3 linked regions of the Arabidopsis thaliana genome follow. The protein of the gene in region 1 interacts with the protein of each later gene in a pairwise test. Each region holds a gene or a part of one and is shown in the gene's direction. Other genes may lie near its edges.

Region 1 (7,177 bases):
ATCGGCTCTGGAAGAATAGTTTTTAGTTGAGGAAATATGCATGAACTCCCCTTTGTCACTAGGGTGAAGTTACGTGCATTCTTAGTTTCTCCTTAACTGGATAGTAAAATCTTTTGTAGGATACGTTTGTTGGCTTTTGGTACAGGACTGGAGGATCCAGATAATATTATTTCAACTACCTCTTGCGGTGCTTTAACATCCTCTCCTTATTTGAGTTTAGTACCTGCTATTTATTATCTTCTTCAGAGGATTGGCCTGTCTTCTTCTTTAGTTTTGCTTAGGCGTAGAGGAGTTTGGCTTTATGATTCCTATAAATAACTTAAGTCGTATGGTTAGGTTTCATGCATGGAAGTTGTTATACTGACCATAGTTTTTTTCCAACCTTGTTCATTGGCTTTGTCATTGATGTTTTCAGGTTCTGACAGATAAAGATCATTGCTATTGCGTACTACTTAATTCTCACGATGGGGCAGCCTTTCCAAGTGCAACTGTTAAAGATTCGAGTGATTCTAATACGAATGCTGACCCTAGAACTGTGAAAGATCCTAAGGTCTAGTTTTTTCCCACCTATGCTTCACTATTTTCAGCAGTTGCTGCCAATCATCTATCAATTATTCATTTGCCACCTGCTATGAGTTTCAAATAGATTCCTTAATTTGTGGTTAATGCTTGAAAATATCTTGTAACCATGTCATACAGAGGAATATGTCGGTAGTTTCACTGATGCTTGCAACGGTCGATCTTAAACAAATTAACTAAAGTATTGTTTGTGATTTTTGTAAAGATGATTTAACTTCAAGCTCAATGGTTTTCAAAAGGCCTATGGACACATTACATGGTCGTGACTTTCTAATGAGAAAGAAATTGACATGCTGGTGCTTTTGGTTGCAGGTTACTCTGTTTTCTGGGTTTGTCAGCTATCAGATGGTTCGAGAAGCCTATGAAGGTCACTTTACAGTTTCTTTTCTATTTCTTATTCAGTTTTAGAACCTAGTTCAATTCTCCAGCAACTTTTGTAGTTATGGTTTACTTGCCTTAGTCTTCTAGTACTTAGCACTATCATTGTCGATCTCGGTCTTTCATATTTCTCCCAAAATATTTGATGGAAAGTATATATTAAGGGTCCATGATAGTACGGAACTTGGTCTCGAGCTTGACTCCACTATAGCACACAGAATTCATTAGTGGTTATTCATGTCAGGGAAACATGCAGTCTTAATATTCATGCCTTTACTCATTTACTCAAAAAGTAAAGTCGAAATTTTTGGAAGTAGTATGGTTCGTTTAGAGATCAAGGAGGTGTGAATATGAAACGGTACCCAACCTGACAACCTCAAGATGGCTGGACTACAAAATTAACTTTTGTAGACATGGAATTTTGAGATATTAAGAGCTAAAAGACCTAAAGGAACCTATTGCTTGTTTCCTTGTCTATATAGGCTGAGATCGCTTTCGTTGATTTGGGCTAATTAATATTTTCACGCTTTATGTTTTTTCATCTAATAACTTTTATTACAGGGGGGAGGAATCGGTTTGGAAGTCTCCTATCTCTCGGTCATATTACAGGAAAAGCAGACAGACTTTATATGAGAGGCCCAGGAGGACGTGGAGAAGTTGAAGTAGCTGTTTCTGGCGTTGTAGGTACTTTTCATTTCTTATGCTTGAATGGCTCTTTATTTTCCTGTTAGTGTTTTGTTTCCCTATTTTCTCGAGTGTTACAGTGCAGTTAGTAATATTCCATGGAAGATAAAAAAAAAAAAGTAAAAACATAGAGAATGCCCTAGCCAACAATTGTCTTAGGTCGGATTGTCTTAATAGCAGCAATATTTAAGAAGTACAATCGCCAAAATTTAAGAGTAGGAGACTTGTTGAAATGTATATTGAAGACGTAGTATGGTTTAAAGGATGATTGTATAGAATTGCTTTTCTCAGATCAGAGCCAAGTAGTTTTAGGGCCTGTTTCACCTATGTCTTCAAAGAAGAGCATCGATCTCGGATCCATTTTCCGTAAAGCAGCCTCTGTTGCATCTGTCGCAGCTAAACATGCAATAGCAGCTGCTACTGCCTCTTATGATGAAGACGAGATGTTCCCTCTTAAATGCTGCTTAATGTCCATTTCATTACCATGGGACACTATTGCTCATGATCTTTTATTCAAGGTAACAAATGATTTCTCTTTAGCCACACCGGTCGTCAACAATAGACACTAATAGATCTTTTCGATATTGCTGATCGATTCCACTAATCGTCTTTATTTAGGCAACTCCACCAGTCAACATGGAGTAGCACACTCTGGAATGAAGCGTAGGAAACAGAAGTTTGTGTGTTTTGTCTAAATGTTTTTTTTTTTTGTACTTTGATTGAATATTCCTTTTGTGATGTTACTCGACTATGTGGTTTACCACAACCACTGTTATTACCTCAAGGAATAAATGAAAGTAAAGTTGTGAATTTGCAATCATCAAGTCTATATGTTTTGGCTACTCTTCTTGTTTAGTATAATGTGGACTCGCTCAGCCTATACTTTGACAAACAGAATGAATTTCGGTTAGTTAATCAAGGTCCGGTTATTTATATAAAACTTAAGTTCGGTTCGGATCGATAAATCTTTGATTCAGTTTGGTTCGGTTTTTAGGTCGATCCCTATGAGATACAGATGTCTTGCATAGAAAGTATAGAAGATATGGTATTTAAACATGTGAAATAAAACAGCTTTTTGCCATCTTTTGTTGGACTTTACTTGAGAATGTGGAATGCTAAAGAATAAAAAGAAATTAGGGTAGACAAATAAGGAGGAAGCACATGAATCCAACTCTTGGTGGTAGACATTTCTTATTAGATGACAAAACTCTGTTTTAGGTTAAACTAAGGTGTATAGCTTTCTAAGAAAAGGAATTGTGTTAAAATATAGATCGGTTGTTAGACATTTCCTAATTAGATGACAAAACTCTGTATCTGAGGTTAAACTAATGCTTCTATTTTAATAACAAAAAGGAATTATGTTAATATATAGAGAGTCGGTTATAGAAGTTGTGAAAATGTGAATGCATGTTTTAGTCCACTTACAAAAAGCCACAAAAAGTCACAAACAGTGGACTTTGGATTTTCTTGAAACGTGATTACAAAGGTCAAAATATAAGAATAGTATGTTCTTTAACATCTTTTGCCCTGGAAATAATTGTAGGCAAAAAAAAAATGACCCATTATCTAAATTTTTAATTTAACAAAAAAATAAAGTAAAATAGGCAAGATTGGTTTTATACCCCAATGGAGAAATATTTCAATATGTCACAGTATTATAAATTTTAACGGATAAATTTTCTTTCAAAACATGTAAAGATTTACGAAAATACGTACGAATATATTTACCCTACTTAATTAAAAAAAAAATGATTCAAAATTATAATGATACTATAAAGAGAATGCAGCTGTAGTTTCACTTGTATTGTTTACTTTATCTTACTAAAAAGATAAGAAAATCCAAACACATAATAAATAAACTAAGACGTAATATGCTTTTTGTTAGATTCTTCGCCATTAAGCTAAGCTCTCATCTTCTTCCTCTTGTGTCAAGACCTACACACCATTTTCTCCCCTAAGTCTTAACTTAATAAGTTGTGTAGAAACTTAAAAAAAATCTTTTATGTATAGAGTTTTATCTGATATTTTTTTTGTCAATTACATGTACTTAATATGCGAGCTTGAATCTGGAATCGTTTCTAGCAGTAGAAGGATAAAGTGCGTGCCCTCTTTTTATCACATTGAAAAAAAAGTATATGAAAATGATGCATTTTATTGGTTTGAACTCTGAACCTACTGAGTATCTATACCAAGAAATCTTACACAAAATTGGTCTAATAACTAATATATATTTTGAGGCCCCAAATCAAAATTTTATGTGCTTGTGCCAAGGAAGGATCGGTCATGATAGATTGATAGTAACACAACGACAATACTAACAGAAACCAATAGGCTATAAATCCTATTCATTTTATTTTTTTTACAATATAGTTATATTTTACAAGTTTTTCAGATATTATTGACCCTCTAGTATTTTACCAATTATATAGTTTAAATGGTGACAACCTTAAACACCCAGTCCTTTATATTAATCAAAAAAACAAAAAAAAACAAAAAAAACAATAATCTTACAATGACAATGTGAAATTAATACACTATCTCTGTAGTTAAAAAGTAGTGCTACGAAAGTGATAAAAGTTAAAAAGCAGTATCCAAACAAAAGGTATAAAAGGATAAAAAAACAAAAGTTAAAATAATACAGTAATAATGTTATCTAGAGCACTAATCGACAAACATTCCAATTAATCTCTTAGATTGACTCTGATTATGACATTAATACTTAGCACTTTTTTAGTGGACAATATAACCCCAATGTGAGTCCCACATGTTATTCCTCATTCCTCTCTATAAATAGCCACTCTTGGTTCATTTTGAATCCTCCCCTTCCTCTCTAGCTTTCATTCTCTAGCTTTAACACAAATTATACCAATATCTTTTGCCACTTACATCAATGTTTTATACTAATATGGAGACGGTTCATAACTGCTTCAATGATGCTACGATAACCGGTGATGAAATCATTGATATATTGGCGTTTCTTCAATCAGACGAGTCGGACAATCCAAGCGGTATAAACGAGGTAGTACCGGTGGATGATAAGAAGAGAAGACGGACGATATCAAACCGGGAATCGGCCAAGAGATCGAGGATGAAAAAGAAGAAACGTTTTGAAGAGTTAACTGAAGAGGTGAACCGGTTAAACATAAGAAATCAGGAGCTGAAAAACCGGTTAGCTAATGTTGTTAGTTGTGGTAATTTTATATCTAGGGAGAATAACCGGTTGAAAACCGAATCGGTTTGCCTTGAGATAAGGCTTTTAGAGTTGTACCGTTTTTTAGTGGCCATGCAATCGCCAATCTCAACGAGTGTAAATTACATCACAACGCTCGAGATTTAAGTTTGAAACAAAATAAACAGAAAAACGATGCCAAGTAACTTTGAGCATTTTTGTAAAGGTCAAACGTTTTATACTATGAATTTCACATTTTGGTTCAAACTTCAAAGTTATGCATATGTGTATATATGTAAACTGTATGGATAATATTTGTGAAACTTGATTCCCTCCACATAAACACAATCATAAATATGTTGTCAAGACCTAAACAAGACGTGCCGAAACAAGACCGGTTCACAGTCAAAATGAATCAAAATTTTCAAAATTTTATTTTTCCTCCAAAAGCCGAAAGACAAACATCAAGTTCAATAAGCCTAAGCAGAATACTAAAAGTTTGGTGAACGTAACGAAGTAGCCAAACATAACAGTATAACACTAGAAATTTCCCTAAGTTAACACTTTTGTTTTTACCTATAAACATAAACTATTAGGACGAAACTCTAAACTTGCTAGCTCCATGAAAATGTTGTTGTACAATTAACTTTTGAATTTTTAAGACCTTTAACAGTATCGTCTTTAAGTAAGCCTATATATATACACAGATAATGTAGAATTTTAAGACGTAATTATCTTCTAAAATTAATAATTGATTGAGTTTAACAGTATGATTATTTATTACCTTTTTAATGAAGAAAATGTCCCATCCCAAAATCACAACAACCTTTTGATAGTGTGCACTATATGTTGGGTTTGAAGAAAAATCTTGGACCAAATCACACAAAGGAAAACGTGGGGTTTAATTTCTTTGTGTGGCTAATTAAGTGTATAGATATATATATATATATATATATATATATAATCATATTCATATACATTAAGAGATGCATGCGCATGGTGCATGGAACGAAACGGATATTTTAAAGGGTGAAATTGTTAAATGATATTTGAACTAAACAGCTAAATATAGTATGAAACACAATCGGCATTAGCTAAAATCTCATGTTAATTTTTATAATTAAGTTCACAAAATCCATGTTATTTTTTAAAACACATGCAGTCATTACCATTCTACTTACTTACTAGTCCATATTTTTATAAATGACTTATCATATGAATACCTAGTCCATATGCATATTGTTTAAGTCTATATTTATGTAAATGTTACTATCACAATTCACAATATTCACTAGCTTTGGTTTAAAACATGGAACAGAAGTAAACCCACAATAGTACTTACTTAGGTAAGAAGAAATAATTAAAGGAGACTTCAAATTAAATAAATTGTCTATATACAAGGAAACTTCATCGAAAAAATATCATAAGATTAATCATTTCCAAGAATTGTACTGGAGCTACCAACGTTAAGGAACAAAGAAAATAAGGTAGTGTCACCGTGTCTGGAGAAGGAAAAAGATAGATGTGTTATGTGATGGGATCTTCTCGGTGGATATCATATAAAGCTCTCATCAATATTGAACCCAAATCTATTTTTTGTCACTTTTATTCGGCCGACATATCTTCGCAGAAGTTCTACATAAATGTTATCTTTTCTGAACCCTAAACAAGTATATTTTGTAGATATTTAAGATGTCGGCTGTATAAAGATAAAATTTCTCTGACATATAAAAAAGATGATACAATTTCTCTTTCTCTTTCTTAAGATATTTCAAAGATGATTAATCATTGATTCGTAAGCTTAAAATGGATCATTTTCTAGTACTCAAATCACCCGTAAAATCTCTATTTCACATAAAAAAATATGAGATGAGACATATATTTGCTATATTATATGGAATATGGTGGGTATAGATATTATAGAACATCGACACTATGCGAAGAACAATTATTCGTAGTTTAGGCTTTATGTAGTACTTGATTCTTACTGTCTTACATACTAAATATTCAGGATATATATAACATGAGAAAATGGTATATATATACAAAAACAAATTTTGATCAAAACGAATGATATACAAATTTGTTTTACGTTTTCACATTTTAAAAATATAATTTTGATATTTATATATATCATTCATCAATATATTTCTTTCTTTTTTAATTATTTGAAATTAATTTGGCTAAATAATATAGACAATTAACCAGTTTTTTGTTGAGCTAAAAAGAGTTTGACTGTTTTAAGTACGTACCATTTGATTTTTCTGTTATTAAACTATTTATCTCACATACTACTAGCTAGTCTTGTCCAAAGTTTTATTGAATTTTTATGGAATACTATCAAACTTATATATAAAAAAAAAAAAT
Region 2 (7,108 bases), on another chromosome or scaffold:
CATTATAGTTTGGTAGGCAAAATGGAGTGAGAATAGAGTTTCATAGTATATACTAAGGTTCTTAATTGTGCAAATAGTTGATACAAGTCACATGGGCCAAGTTTGTAAATCTTAAATCGAAATATGCCTTCTTCTTTTTTTGCATGAAAATGCTAGTAATTTATAAGTGTGTTTTTCAATAAGAGATGCTAAATACCAAAATTAACCTAGTTTTCAGTGAGCGCTTGCATTATTGTGGCCTACTTTACTCTTTAGTCCATTCAATAATCAATGTACTTACATAAAAATGTTAAATCCCATAATCAACCAAAAGGACCAAGGCATTTAAGCGAACCCTTAGAGCATCCTCAATGGTAGTTTTTAAGCTTAAGTCTCTTAAACAAAATTGAAGTGTAAGTATAGATAAATAATATTTTTAATTATGGGTTTCTTAAATTTGGTGAAACCAAGACCAATTATCTCTTAACTAAGAGACAATTTGCCTAGATTTCATCAAAGTTAAGAGACTTATGAATATTTAAATCATATAAATTTTTTATTCTTTGTTAAGAAACTTGTTTAAAATCCCCCATTAAGGATGCTCTTATGTTTTGGCCTACTTTACCAAAAGTCCATTGTATTAAATGATTTACTTTTTACGTGAATGTTCCTCTTATTTTGTTGCTATAAGGATAAAGTAAATCTTGGTGTTTTTTTTGGTTAATGCCGTTGCTCTTTAATCTCAACGGATTTATTTAAAGTTAAAAGTTGACAAAGAACTTTGCTTTTGTTCTTTCTTTTGAAAGACATAAATAATCATAAAACATCTGAGGAAATTCCGAAATCAATGTCCGTAGACTAAGGTACATAACAAAAAAAGGAACATGTTTTCAAAATTAATGATATTACATAGTGTTAAAGCTAAAACGAAGAATGTAGTTTTACCCTTTTTTTTACTTCACTTCTTGGTTTGCTCCTCGGCTGCTGGCTTACTCCGCTCTTCCGCCGTTGCTGGCGGTGGCGGCGGTGGAGGTGAAGGAGCAGCGGATACGGCAGGAATGCCGGCATCGATGCAGCTACGACACTTTCTCTCGACCCAACCTTCGATGTCGTGGTCTCCGCCGTGAGATAAGTGGCGACCGCCACAAAGCCGAGCGAAAACGCCGGCTAAGACGGATAAAATGGTGATGACGGCTAAGACAACAACGAGTGTTTCTATTGAACGGTGGTCCGAGTTGTGACTCGGCTGGTCTTGGGAGGGTGGGTCTATATAAATGGTGGTTGGTGTGGTGCTGAGTTGGTCATCGAGCCTTGCCGTGGCTCCGAACATGAGAGAGACAGTGTGAGAAGAGGAAGAGAGAGAGTTTCAGGTGAGCTTGTGGGAGCAAAGGTTTAAGACTTGATTGAAGTAGAGAGAGTGGGGTTAATTATATCGACTTTAAGAAAACAAATTACTTTCATTAAAAAAAAAATGTTACTCCTAAAAAAACATCTTTATAACATTGAATACTAATGGTCTCATTGTAATTATGATGGTTTCTTTTTCCTTTTCTATCCATGATTCTATGAACTTAATTGGTTCATAGGCATTGAATTTAAGGATATTTATGTATATGTATATATATGTGAAAAACATACAATGAGAAAAATAAAAAAGTTTTTTGCTTTTGTTTTTGACGTAAATAGTAAAACAGTTTATATATGAAAAAATTAAAATTCGCAATTCCCAATTTGTCCTCAGTGTGTGTAAAAACCAAAAACCACATGCATTTGGTTAAAACGAAGAGGTGTTTGTTTTGTTGTCCCCATTACTCCTTCAATGACCACCACCCTCTCTCTCTGCCACTTCTACTCTCCCCTATTGAGTCCTCTTTGACTCAACTAACCATTACTTACTCTTACAAAATAAATGTGATAATCATGACTATATATATATATATATATATATATAAATTCATTTTTATCTGTGAACTCACTAGTAACTAATTTAGATTTTTACGTGGTCTTGTCTTTTTATTTGTCTGTTGATTTTTGGCAGGTAATATCAATGGTGGGGTTTGTTCATCTTGTTCTATCTCTGTATCTTCTTATTTTTAAATATGTCAATGTGTCAGCTCAATAATGTTTATGCAGTGAAAAAATTATCACCCCAAAAAAATATTTTTCAAGAAACATGCAATAACTGACACAGAAAAAAAAAACGAATCAAGAAACAGTCATTACATTACACGAATCATATGTTGGGCCTTAGTTTAGTAATGGGCTTATAAACCCAATAAGCTCATTTTAGCCAGAAAACCCTAACTATCTCTTCTCGTCTGGAGATATAAGTAGAATCATTTTTTGCCGCCGTTTCTCGCTAACACACCGAAAACTGAATCAAATCTCCTAGCTCTTCTACGCAAAATCGAGTGCATCGACAATGGCGGAACGTGGTGTCGAACGTGGTGGAGATCGCGGCGATTTCGGACGTGGATTCGGTGGTCGCGGCGGTGGAAGAGGTGGTCCGAGAGGTCGTGGTCGCCGTGCAGGTCGTGCTCCAGAGGAGGAGAAATGGGTGCCAGTGACTAAGCTTGGTCGTCTCGTAAAGGAAGGTAAGATCACAAAGATTGAGCAGATCTACCTCCATTCTCTCCCAGTCAAGGAGTACCAGATCATAGATTTACTCGTCGGTCCTTCATTGAAAGACGAAGTGATGAAAATCATGCCGGTTCAAAAACAAACCAGAGCCGGTCAGAGAACGAGATTCAAGGCCTTCATCGTCGTCGGAGATAGTAACGGTCACGTCGGATTAGGAGTCAAATGCTCCAAGGAAGTTGCGACGGCGATCAGAGGCGCGATCATTCTCGCGAAATTGTCTGTGGTTCCGATACGAAGAGGTTATTGGGGTAACAAGATTGGAAAACCACATACGGTTCCGTGTAAGGTAACCGGGAAATGTGGATCTGTTACTGTACGTATGGTTCCAGCTCCGAGAGGTTCTGGTATTGTGGCGGCTAGAGTTCCTAAGAAGGTTCTTCAATTCGCTGGAATTGATGATGTCTTTACTTCTTCTAGAGGATCCACCAAAACTCTTGGAAACTTCGTCAAGGTATGTACTTTCACAATGGCTGTTTTGGTTTGATGAACTCTGAATTAGGCAGTGAAAAAGTAATCATTACCAGTTAAGTGAATTTATATTGAAGATTAGGATTTAGCTGATTGTATTGGTTTGAGCATGTGAGTTTGTGTTTAAGATTGCTTGAATTGAAATGCTTTAGGTTGTTTGATTACGCTAAATTCTGACTAATGTAATTCAAATTGTTGTTGTTTTTTTTTGGTCAGGCAACATTTGATTGTCTGCAGAAGACATACGGATTCCTTACACCGGAATTCTGGAAAGAGACGAGATTCTCAAAATCACCATACCAAGAGCACACTGATTTCTTGCTTATACCTCCTGGCGTCAAGATCAGCGAGGTTGTTGTAGACAAAAGCGTAGAGTAATACCACTTTATCTTGTTACATGAGACTTGAGTGTTGTCAAAAGCTCAAGTCAGATTTTGTTCCAACCTTGGTTTTTTGATTTGTCGGTTATAATGTCTTTAGTAATCTAGATACGTATCTGTTTTACACTTTGAATTCAATCATACGAATCTTCTTATAATTGGGGTTTACGGCTTGAAACAATATGGAATTTGGATCTAGCAGTGAATGATATAAGGTATGATTACAACGAGATTTATATAATCTACCTGGAAAATATGTTTTAATCAGACAAAAATACTTTATTGCAGAAGAGAAGGCTAGATAAATGGGCCTGTTCCCAACATCGTTGAATATGTTTTAAAGCCCAAGTTTTGAAATGAAATGAATAAAAGCCTTAGACCTTAGTAAGCCCAGTCACAGTTTTAATTGGTTGGTGAAATCGAATTTTTTTTAGTCAAAGAGAGAAAAAAGAAGAAAATAAGAAGATGGGAATGACGTTGACTTTCCTTTACAAATTTCTTCTTCTTCTTCCTTGCCCGAGTTTTTCTGTTGATCTAAATTCTCGGAATCTGGGGATTTTCTTTTCCCGGTGTGTCTATCTCGCCGGGAAACTCTAATAAACCATCTTTTCTTACTTCTCTATACTATCCTACGATTGCTTTTCGATTTTTTTTTGTCGGAATTGTTGTTTGTGTAATATTCTCGAAAGCTCGGTCTCAACAATGGGAACTCCAGAATTTCCAGATCTGGGTAAACACTGCTCCGTCGATTATTGCAAACAGATCGATTTCTTGCCCTTCACATGCGATCGCTGCCTTCAGGTCTCCCTTTCTCCTTCTCCGTTTTCTTTCGATACCATTCCAATGCCATGATTTTTCTGTATAGAGAATCATCGTGGCTTCTTCTAAGTCTCTGGTCAATTATATGATTTATACATGAGTTCGTCTCTTTTTATGTTCAAATTCAGTAGTTGATTTGAATCTAGACTAATCGTCATTTCGAAAGAATTAGATGCTAAATGATTGAAAAGATTCATTTGTTTTATCTGAATCCGGAGAGGAAGCTTATATCAAATCTTTTGAACTTTTTTTTTGAAAATTTATTGAAGGTGTATTGTCTGGATCATCGTAGCTATATGAAACACGATTGTCCAAAAGGAAACAGAGGAGATGTCACTGTGGTTATTTGTCCATTATGTGCTAAAGGAGTTAGATTAAACCCTGACGAAGATCCCAACATCACCTGGGAGAAACATGTTAATACAGACTGTGATCCATCTAACTACGAAAAAGCTGTCAAGAAGAAGAAATGTCCTGTTCCTAGATGCAGAGAACTCTTGACATTCTCCAATACTATTAAATGTCGAGATTGTAGCATCGATCATTGTTTGAAACATCGGTTTGGACCTGATCATAGTTGTTCTGGACCCAAGAAGCCTGAATCGAGTTTCTCATTCATGGGTTTCTTGAGTACAAACACAAAAGAAGCTCCTGCATCATCATCATCTTCTTCGAGATGGTCTAGTCTTTTCGCTTCTGCGGAAGCAAGTATTAGTAGACTCGGTAACGATATAAGCCAGAAGTTACAGTTTGCGAGTGGCAATGATGGCAATTCAGAGAAAACGCAAGAGAGGAATGGAAAACAGAATTGTGGCAAAGTTACGGTTGATGTTTGTCCCAAATGTAGTAGAGGGTTTCGTGATCCGGTGGATCTATTGAAGCATATCGATAAGGATCATCGTGGCACTTCTAAAGCCTAGAAGAAAGGAAGTGGTTTTATATTTGTGTGATTTGTATCATTCTTTGTAACACAGCCAGGAAGAAAGAAATTTCCATATTCTTTTGAGCTCGGTTTTTGTTTTGTCGAATTGGTTTTCCTGGTCTAGGAGATAACTGAATTTGGAAAATCCCTCTCAAATCTTAATTAAGAAAATATAATTTCTTTTAAAATAAATAATTGATTGGATAATACTTCGAAGTATGTGTTGGGCTTCGGGCCGAAAATAACGGGACTTGGAAGGCACACAATCTGAGAATTTGCTATATAAGAGGGCGAGACAGGTAGGGTTTGGAGCACAGCTTTGCTTTTGAGTTCGGGAACCACTTTGCCCTGACCTGTCAGGTTCTCTCTCTTTAATAAATTTTGATTGTGTAGATTCTTCCTTTGGACTTGATATATTTTGCTCTTTCTCTCTGTTTAGCATATATTATCATCCGATTTAGGTATTGACTATAATATATGTTTATGTTTATTCTTTTCGTAAGAGCAGTTAATTACAGTTAGAAATCCAGTCATGGTGGTGGGTGCGGTAGCAAGATATGTGAAATCGATGTGGTCAACTCCCGAGGGTGTTACAGATCTAATCATGGCAATGGGATTACCATTCGTAGGTTTGATTATTTACGAACAGGAAAAGCAACTTGCTATCATCAGAGAGCACAAGAAGGTTTTAGGACGATTTTTGGGAGGAATGGTCATAGTTAGAGAGGAGTGATCGGTCCTAGATAATCCAAAAAAGGGTGTTTTTCTTTTACTAAAGGTTTTTATATTATTCTCCATAAATGTTTCCATGAAACAAGATAACTCTTTTGTATAAAGAGATTAATTGATTTTAATTTAAGAGATGATTTATGTCTACAAGATACTCAAAGATATCCTATGGATAGGATTTATCTGTTTCAAAATTTCTATGATTCACTGTTTGTTTTAATAAACTATTTGACAACCAAAAGTAGAACAATATTGGCTTCATCGGCCACAAAGTACCTAAACTCAAGACAGATATAGAAGTGTGTAAAATCCTTCAATTTATGGCTTCTCACCAAAAAGTAGCTTTGACCCCGGAATCAATGTCGTAAATTAAATACACATAATCTATTATCACTTTGCTGATTGATCTGGATTTAAGCAAGGGTTTTTGAAAGCATAAGTAACCATTGGTTAAATCCATAGAATCTGACAAGTGATAATAGTGATCTCGCAAGCTAACCTAATAATCAAAACCACTTCTTAGGCTGTTCTTGTTGCCAAAAAAAACAAAACGTCTATGCCCATATCGTGCTACCTTCAACGCAGAATTAGCAATTTCCTAAAAATTTGGGAAACATTGTACTATTATAGCTCCTTGCATGTTTTGACTGTAAAAAGACAAACCAAAACAAACATGTGCTGTGACAAAAAGAATTACCAAATTAAATAGAGATGATGATCACTGACCTTCGGAATCAACCTTGTGGAGAAGAAGCCCGAGAGAGTTTGTAGGTTAAATAAAAGTTACAGTGCATCGGACGATATTAATTACCCATGAAAATAAAGTTAGGGTTTAGAAGTTAGAGAAAAAGTGTCTCTCTGTATCTTTGACTTACGATGATATACAGTAGAGGGACTGCACTAACATTCGACACTTACGATGTCGACAAATAGAAACCAGTTGTTACTGATGCCTTCAAAAGTACATAGAATATGACAAGTGATAATAGTCGCTTCACTAATTAGCCTAATAATCAAATTATCAAAAGCATTCCTGAATAGTAATCCATATAACACATTCATCTTAATATAAAAACTAATATCTTCACATCCTTCTAAAATTAATTAATCTCTATTTTAGTATTTAGTTTCATTGAATATATCCGGATGTGATCTTTACAAATTACAATTA
Region 3 (7,389 bases), 5.5 Mb from region 1:
TTATGCCAATAGCCTACAGAAAAACGCATTAGGAGTTGAGAGATTTTTTTTAGAGTACTGAAAAAATTTCCTTTTTTCCAAGCAGAAGTACATATATGAAAACAGCAGCTTCAAGTGGTAGTCAAACCTCAAAAATGTGACTGCCATCTTCAGTTCCAGTAAGTTCTCTTGATGCAAAGTTCATAGTCGTCAACTGGGACAACGTATCTTGAAGGTTCTGATTTTTCATAAAAAGATAGTTAGACAAAAAAATTAAACAAGAAAATACATCGGATATACAAAAATGGATAACTAGCCTTCAGATCAAACGAGCTGTAGATAAGAGAAAATGAAAATCAAACCCTTACCTGCAAGATCTTGTCAATGAATGGTACAAGCTTTGATTTTAACAATTTCACGACTCTCATGAACAAGTAACCAGCTCTACGGCTCACATAGAAATTCTGGTGATGCAAACCCCTATCATCAAGGAAAGCACCAAGAACATTGGGAATGTACTGGGAGTTTTCCTGAATAAACTTCATGTACCTTGTTATGTTTTCTAAGTACACTAGTGCAACAAGTCTATGTGAATGACCAGGGAACTGTGTGGTCAAGAGCATCGGAATTAGTTCACTCAAACACCCAGATCCTGTTTTCATGGCCTCCTCGGTCATAGACTCTCCGAATGAATACAAAAGCGAGAGCGCAGCTTCCACTTCTTCAACATTGCTCTCCGATGAAGATTCAACAGCATTTGCTAGTGAGTTACGAATGAAATGCTGAGTAACTTCAGGAGCAACACGGCCCACTGTACGTAATAAGACAAAGAGATCTTTTCTAAACTCGGACATTCTATCTTCCTCCTCCAATCCAGTTTTATCCAGTGAATTAAGGTTATTACGATACATAGGATCATAGCAAATCTGAATTCTTATCACTTCGAGAATCTGTGTAATGTGGAGCAGCTGCTTCTCCTTCAATGCAGGGAGGCCTTTGAGAGTGGAAACATAACCCAGGAGAAACTGGACGATGCTAAAAGTAGAATCCACCTCACACTTCTGCATGACATAAAAAACTGATGGCAGAACTTCGTTCAGCAAATCCATGGAGACTGCCTTGGTGTCCTCTGAGTTCAAACGCTTATGGCATTCTAGAACCTCAACAGCATAGCCAGTAAGCAAAGCAGATACTTTTGATACCAAATCGGAATCAACATCTCCGGATACTAAACCAAAAACACGACTGATTTGAAGGGTCTGCAAAAGGGGCAGTTTTGACTGGGGATCCATCCGCTTAGAAACCATGGCTAAGACACACCCAGCTGCTGCACCGCGGACTTGTTCAGACAATCCATCAGACAAAATCAATTCAAACAGCAGTGGAACAAATGCATCATTGGCAACCAAACCAATGTCAATCCAAGATACAAATCTTCTCATGCAATCTAACACAGTAGCAGAAAGATCAGGATCGGAATTCTTGTACATCGATACAATGTCATACCATGCTCTGGCTATCTGAGGGACACATTGTTGCCTCATTGCATCCTTGACTCGAGCAGCAACAGATATCTCTTCTGGTGTCCGGGGGTAATCCAAGCTAATCAACTCATCGTCCAAGGCATTCAAAACCCGACAAAACATGTCGATCACAACAGCACCTTTGCACAAATGAAGCATGAAATCAAGAAACACCGAGGACCAAATCAAAGGGTACTCATAATAGATCAAAGTAGCCAAAACCTGTGCAAGCTTGTTTTTAACAAAAGGAGGTCCTTCCACAACTCTACCAGCATTCTCATTATCAATAACCTCCAAACAAGCCATTGAAAACACTGATTTCCTCACATAACTCTGCTCATCCAAGCTCATAGATCCATATTTAACCCTTAAAACATCCTGAAGCGTTTGCAAACACCAGAACTGAACTTGGACAAGCTTAGAAAACCATAACTTCTCAATACATATACTACAAATAGAAGGAGTCTCTTTGATTTGCTGACAATAAGTAACAGCTTGAGACTTTAAAGCCGAATCAACAGCACCAGTTTCAAAGCTAATTACTATTGCCTGTTCAAGGTCATCCATTGTGTTAACTTAACCCCACTACAAAAACCCTAAAAACCGAGATTTCAAAATCCAGTCCTGGTTTGTTGCATACAAGTCAAACAATGCCTTGAATTAGTATCGTCAGCTAGCTTCTCTCCTTCACTGTTCTCTTCCCTTATCAGATTTTGATGCGAAGAAGAAAAAGACGAAACTTTTAGTGGGTTTCGCTTGAGAGCTTACCAGAAAGTAAGGATCGTGGCGATTTTAGCGATCGGATTTATGAGAGTGGGAGATATAGTAGAAAAGGGATTATGGAAACCCTAGTTTGGGTTTCTCTTTGAATTCAAAGAATACTTTTTTTTGGTGAGTTTCTAGAAAATTTCCCTTACGGATTTATAAATATGAGGAAAATTGTGAGACTGGAGAGAAGACGGAGCTGTAGGGTTTTTTTTTTTTTATACACAGATTTTTATTAGCTTGCAGAATATTTTCCCAGAGAACTATAAATATTATTGCCAGCGAATTGAAAATTAACCGTCATCTGAATTCAGTAAATCAGCCCATGGGCTTGAATCTCTCTCACCTTAGGCCTTAGGTGTTGCATACTGATAGATTAAGATAGACATGTATAAATGTTTTGTGAGTTAGCAAATATAATGGTGTTTTTTCACTTTCTTAATCTAATGTTTTATAAAACAAATTGTCACATTAATACATATAACTAAACTACTTACTGTGAAATTATTCATGGAGACAACTTCTGTAGCTAAGACCTCTCGATTTTTATTTTGTATACTACAAACTAGGTAATTGTAAGAAAAGGTTTGTTCTGTAATGGCATTGTCGATTACCTCGTAGAAGAGGTTGGAATATTTCCGATGCCCGTAGCAAGATATAAAATCACAAATTCATTTTTCAGTTGTTAAAGAAAACAATTGTGGCTTTTTGTGTAGAACGACATTTCGTTATGTGGGTGGCGAGTATGGACAAACTACCCACTAAGTCTTGGTTAACAGCTTGGAACACAATTTCATTTTCTATCTATAAGCAACATATGCAATATAATCAACCAAATAAGAGAGATCACTTATTCTTTTGTTCTATCATATTTTGTGTGTCTGTTTTCAAAGGTTATACCGTCACATTATCCGCTTCTCACACTTGAGGCAAATTTTATGAGTTAGATAGCATATTGCCAAACACTCCAGCTATATATATCTTTTATCTTTTAGATTGATCTTTGTCTAATCTGCGAAAACAGCAAGATCATTTCAGGCTTCTCCATCACAGTTAGAATCATTTTCAAACGGATCGATTGAATGAGCAATCAAAAACACATTTTTATCGTCTAAGGAGAAATTTCCTTGCAATACTACTAATTTTAGTACAAATTTTGTTTACTTTTAAATTATGTAATGTTCTTTAAGTTTATTAAAAAATATCCCAAATTATATCGAAAGAAAGACATTAATAAAAGAAATGTATTATTGTCTAATTAACATATTTCGAAAGAAACAAAATACTGACTTTTTTAAGCGCTACTGTGTGCTTTTTTTACGGAAAAGTTAATCAAATACCAAAGAACGAAAATTTTCATTGTAGTGTGTCATGTGTATCTCCCATATATATATACGTATACATCGAAAAGATCCGAGGGAGAGTGGGCACAAAACTCTAGAAGTCAGATGCAAGTGTGTGTGAAAGAGAATGTGAAAGAGTGAGGGAGAGAGAAACTTCCTCTTCCTTTCTTTCATGCTTACGACAAAACTTCACCGCCACCTGTTTTGTCTCAAATCTTTTTTCCACCTTTTTAATTATATAATTTATTAAATGTTTTAGACTTATGAAAAATATTAATGTATATTCGCACGTATGAGACTACAAATCATATAAAACGAAACCCTATACATATAAACTAAGAGCGAGAAAGACAGCTAGAGAGAGAGAGAGAGATGAAGAAATGGTTGGGATTTTCATTGACACCTCCTTTGAGAATCTGCAATAGTGAAGAAGAAGAACTTAGGCATGACGGTTCCGATGGTACTCTCTTCTTCACACATCATCCCCCTGGTATATATATGTTGTTGGTGTGGCCACTATTAATATTCTTAATTTGATTTCTATTTTATGTGTAGTTTGGAGATATGATATTAACTTTGATCATCATCATCATGATGAAGACGTTCCAAAGGTGGAAGATCTCCTCTCAAACTCTCATCAAACCGAGTATCCTATAAACCATAACCAAACCAATGTCAACTGCACCACTGTGGTTAACAGGTTAAACCCACCCGGTTACCTTCTCCACGACCAAACCGTAGTTACACCACATTACCCGAACCTAGATCCGAACCTTAGCAATGATTATGGAGGTTTTGAGAGGGTCGGTTCGGTCTCGGTTTTCAAATCTTGGTTAGAGCAAGGCACTCCAGCATTCCCACTCTCGAGTCATTACGTTACTGAAGAGGCTGGTACGAGCAATAATATTAGTCATTTTAGTAACGAAGAGACTGGTTATAACACCAATGGCTCAATGCTATCATTGGCTTTGAGCCATGGGGCTTGTTCTGATTTGATCAACGAATCGAATGTATCCGCACGGGTCGAAGAACCGGTTAAGGTAGATGAGAAGCGGAAGAGATTGGTTGTTAAACCTCAGGTAAAGGAATCCGTTCCTCGGAAGTCGGTTGATAGTTATGGACAAAGAACTTCTCAGTATCGTGGAGTTACAAGGTACGTACGTTATTAAATAATGACGTCTCAAACATTTGTTTTGGTTTAAATGATGTCTCAAACTTACACGTAAGAAAAATGTGAATGCCACAATTATGTTACTTATGTATATTTGTCATTTTATTTTGTAGATTATGTATAATTGTGTCGACACATATTTATGTTGTGCGTGTATACAGGCATAGATGGACAGGGAGATATGAAGCTCACTTATGGGATAATAGCTGTAAGAAGGAGGGACAGACAAGGAGAGGAAGACAAGGTCAGAAAAAACAAATACAAAATAATTTTCCGATTCAATATGCTATCATGCATCAATAATCTTACTAACAATTATTTAATTTTGGCTTCGTATGTACTTTCGAATTCGCTTCTTGATCAATCACAGTGTATCTTGGTAAGCCAGAACTTTATTTTACAACCTATTATGCATGAGATCCCTCGTTCATTTCTTGTTGCCCTATTTTTGGCCTTCGAAGTAAAAATTAACCTTGTTACCTTCTGATAATTATAGAAAAACATTTAATAGTAGAATTAATACTTACTAAAATAGGAGGGTATGATGAGGAGGAGAAAGCAGCGAGGGCATATGATTTAGCGGCTCTGAAGTATTGGGGTCCTACCACTCACTTAAATTTCCCTGTGAGTTTGATCTTTCTGGTCCCGTACCTAGCTCCACTTCTAACTCCTTTATTACATGCAAGTGTGTTTTATATATGTACACTTATATACATGCAACATAACAGTTTCCATACTTATTTCGATATTTTGGATCTTGAATGTAATCATTTTCCGATTTTATTGACTTGATTTTGATGGAACTACATAGATTTGGCTTGTGATATCAGTTCCTTTGACGCTCTTTTATTCAGTTGAGTAATTACGAAAAGGAGATCGAGGAACTCAATAACATGAATCGGCAAGAATTTGTTGCCATGTTGAGGAGGTAATTACTCAACAGTGGGTTTGTAATGATATTTATGGACCTTATATAGTCATATGCATTTAACCATTAACAAACGCTTTGTAATTACATATCATAATCATAGGAATAGCAGCGGGTTTTCGAGGGGAGCTTCCGTGTATAGAGGAGTTACAAGGTTTGATTTGGACATATATGTGAAACTTGTATATATTTATATATGTACATGTACATGCATGGAATTAGATCATGATGATCATGCATGTATAACTCATGTAGGCATCATCAACATGGAAGGTGGCAAGCCAGAATTGGAAGAGTTGCTGGAAACAAGGACTTGTACCTTGGAACATTTAGTATGAACCACTTCTATACATATGGAATTATATCATAGCCTTTGAATTATTAAATATCACATTTTGTAACTATGATGAAGGCACGCAAGAAGAAGCAGCGGAGGCGTACGATATCGCGGCAATTAAATTCAGAGGCCTAAACGCTGTAACCAATTTCGATATAAATAGATATGACGTGAAGAGGATATGTTCAAGCTCAACGATTGTTGATAGCGACCAGGCCAAACATTCTCCCACCAGCTCTGGCGCCGGCCACTAACCGACACCGTAAACTCCTCGCCGGAGAGACTATTCCCACGTACGGTTGGTTTGAGGAAATAAGTTCGTCCAGTCTGTTTAATCATTTATGGTTTAATAAACATATATTCCTAAGTAATTGAGGCCGGTCTACATATATACAACTTTTTTAGCAAATTAAGTTATCAGAATCCACTATATATTATTCTCTATGATATACTTTGATTAAATTTCGTTTTTATTTTTAATTGAAAAAAGTTAATGCATTCATTATTTACAGGATCCATAACATAAGTGTTAATTAATTAGTATATATTAACTGCACCAAGTTGAGGAGAGGCGATTCCTCAATTTGTGTGCCTTCTTCTGTCGTGGTCGTACTTTAAGGAAAAGCGTTACAAATTTAAGTGAAACTTATTTAACTCATAATCAAATCCATCCAAGCCTTTGATAGTTTGATTAATTTTGAACCCGTATCGAGCTAATTCCCTCATGCCATGGTGAAAATAATTGGTGTCAATGGAAATTTGAAGGTTTCTATGGACTTCTTGAGATAAACTAAAGTAATATCAGATGTTAAAAAAAAAAAAAAAACTTTTTATATAATTTTTATTTTATTTATATGCTCGGTTACAAAGCCGGACAAATATCTAGCCGTCAAGAAACAAAAAAAGAACCAACATATGACATATATCACCATCATCGTTATTGTTATGATTCAACATTTAATTAGGGTATATTCTTGAAATCAACTTCAACTTCAACTAATTCTCTTTCTCCTTCTTTTAGCGGCAATGACTGTCCTATCTTTGTCAAACAATTGTTCAGAAGTTTTACACAGTTCATCATCTGATTGAACTTTTCCATTTCTTCGTCACTCAAAAGCGTATCATCTGTGACTTTTTCCTTCCCCAAATAAGTTTGTTCGAGTTTCTTTAGAACCTCCTCGACATCCTCCACATTCTTTTTAGTTTGTTCAAGGGTCGCCAATTCAGCGACATCTCTTTGTGATTCATAAGAAGCCATTTCTTATATAAAATAAGGTAAAGGAAGAATATGTGTGCGTGATAGAGAGATGATGATAATGGTGGTAAATGAGAGTTGAAGAACA

The links. Proteins that work in one complex are often made in the same cells at the same time.
Region 2: the proteins of bZIP4 (region 1) and AT3G57480 interact in a two-hybrid assay, tested with the Arabidopsis thaliana proteins (one large-scale study listed by BioGRID).
Region 3: the proteins of bZIP4 (region 1) and AT1G72570 interact in a two-hybrid assay, tested with the Arabidopsis thaliana proteins (one large-scale study listed by BioGRID).

Annotation. Positions count from the first base shown.
Region 1 is NC_003070.9:21,863,731-21,870,907, forward strand, and holds bZIP4 (basic leucine-zipper 4), read left to right. Parts: upstream 1-4,459; 5' UTR 4,460-4,531; coding exon 4,532-4,978; downstream 4,979-7,177. Other genes in the region: CW7, read left to right, coding at 416-550, 892-946, 1,519-1,641, 1,933-2,210. UniProt on the Arabidopsis thaliana protein: Probable transcription factor involved in somatic embryogenesis. Acts as a positive regulator of BHLH109.
Region 2 is NC_003074.8:21,276,181-21,283,288, reverse strand, and holds AT3G57480 (zinc finger (C2H2 type, AN1-like) family protein), read left to right. Parts: upstream 1-3,917; 5' UTR 3,918-4,169; coding exon 4,170-4,268; intron 4,269-4,555; coding exon 4,556-5,206; 3' UTR 5,207-5,568; intron 5,569-5,716; 3' UTR 5,717-6,019; downstream 6,020-7,108. Other genes in the region: AT3G57500 (fission regulator-like protein), read right to left, coding at 938-1,309; AT3G57490 (Ribosomal protein S5 family protein), read left to right, coding at 2,402-3,070, 3,304-3,465. UniProt on the Arabidopsis thaliana protein: May be involved in environmental stress response.
Region 3 is NC_003070.9:27,327,399-27,334,787, forward strand, and holds AT1G72570 (Integrase-type DNA-binding superfamily protein), read left to right. Parts: upstream 1-3,982; coding exon 3,983-4,070; intron 4,071-4,165; coding exon 4,166-4,763; intron 4,764-4,942; coding exon 4,943-5,025; intron 5,026-5,151; coding exon 5,152-5,160; intron 5,161-5,316; coding exon 5,317-5,405; intron 5,406-5,635; coding exon 5,636-5,709; intron 5,710-5,812; coding exon 5,813-5,863; intron 5,864-5,964; coding exon 5,965-6,041; intron 6,042-6,121; coding exon 6,122-6,300; downstream 6,301-7,389. Other genes in the region: PSD (ARM repeat superfamily protein), read right to left, coding at 1-13, 128-217, 348-2,069; AT1G72580 (uncharacterized protein), read right to left, coding at 7,008-7,304.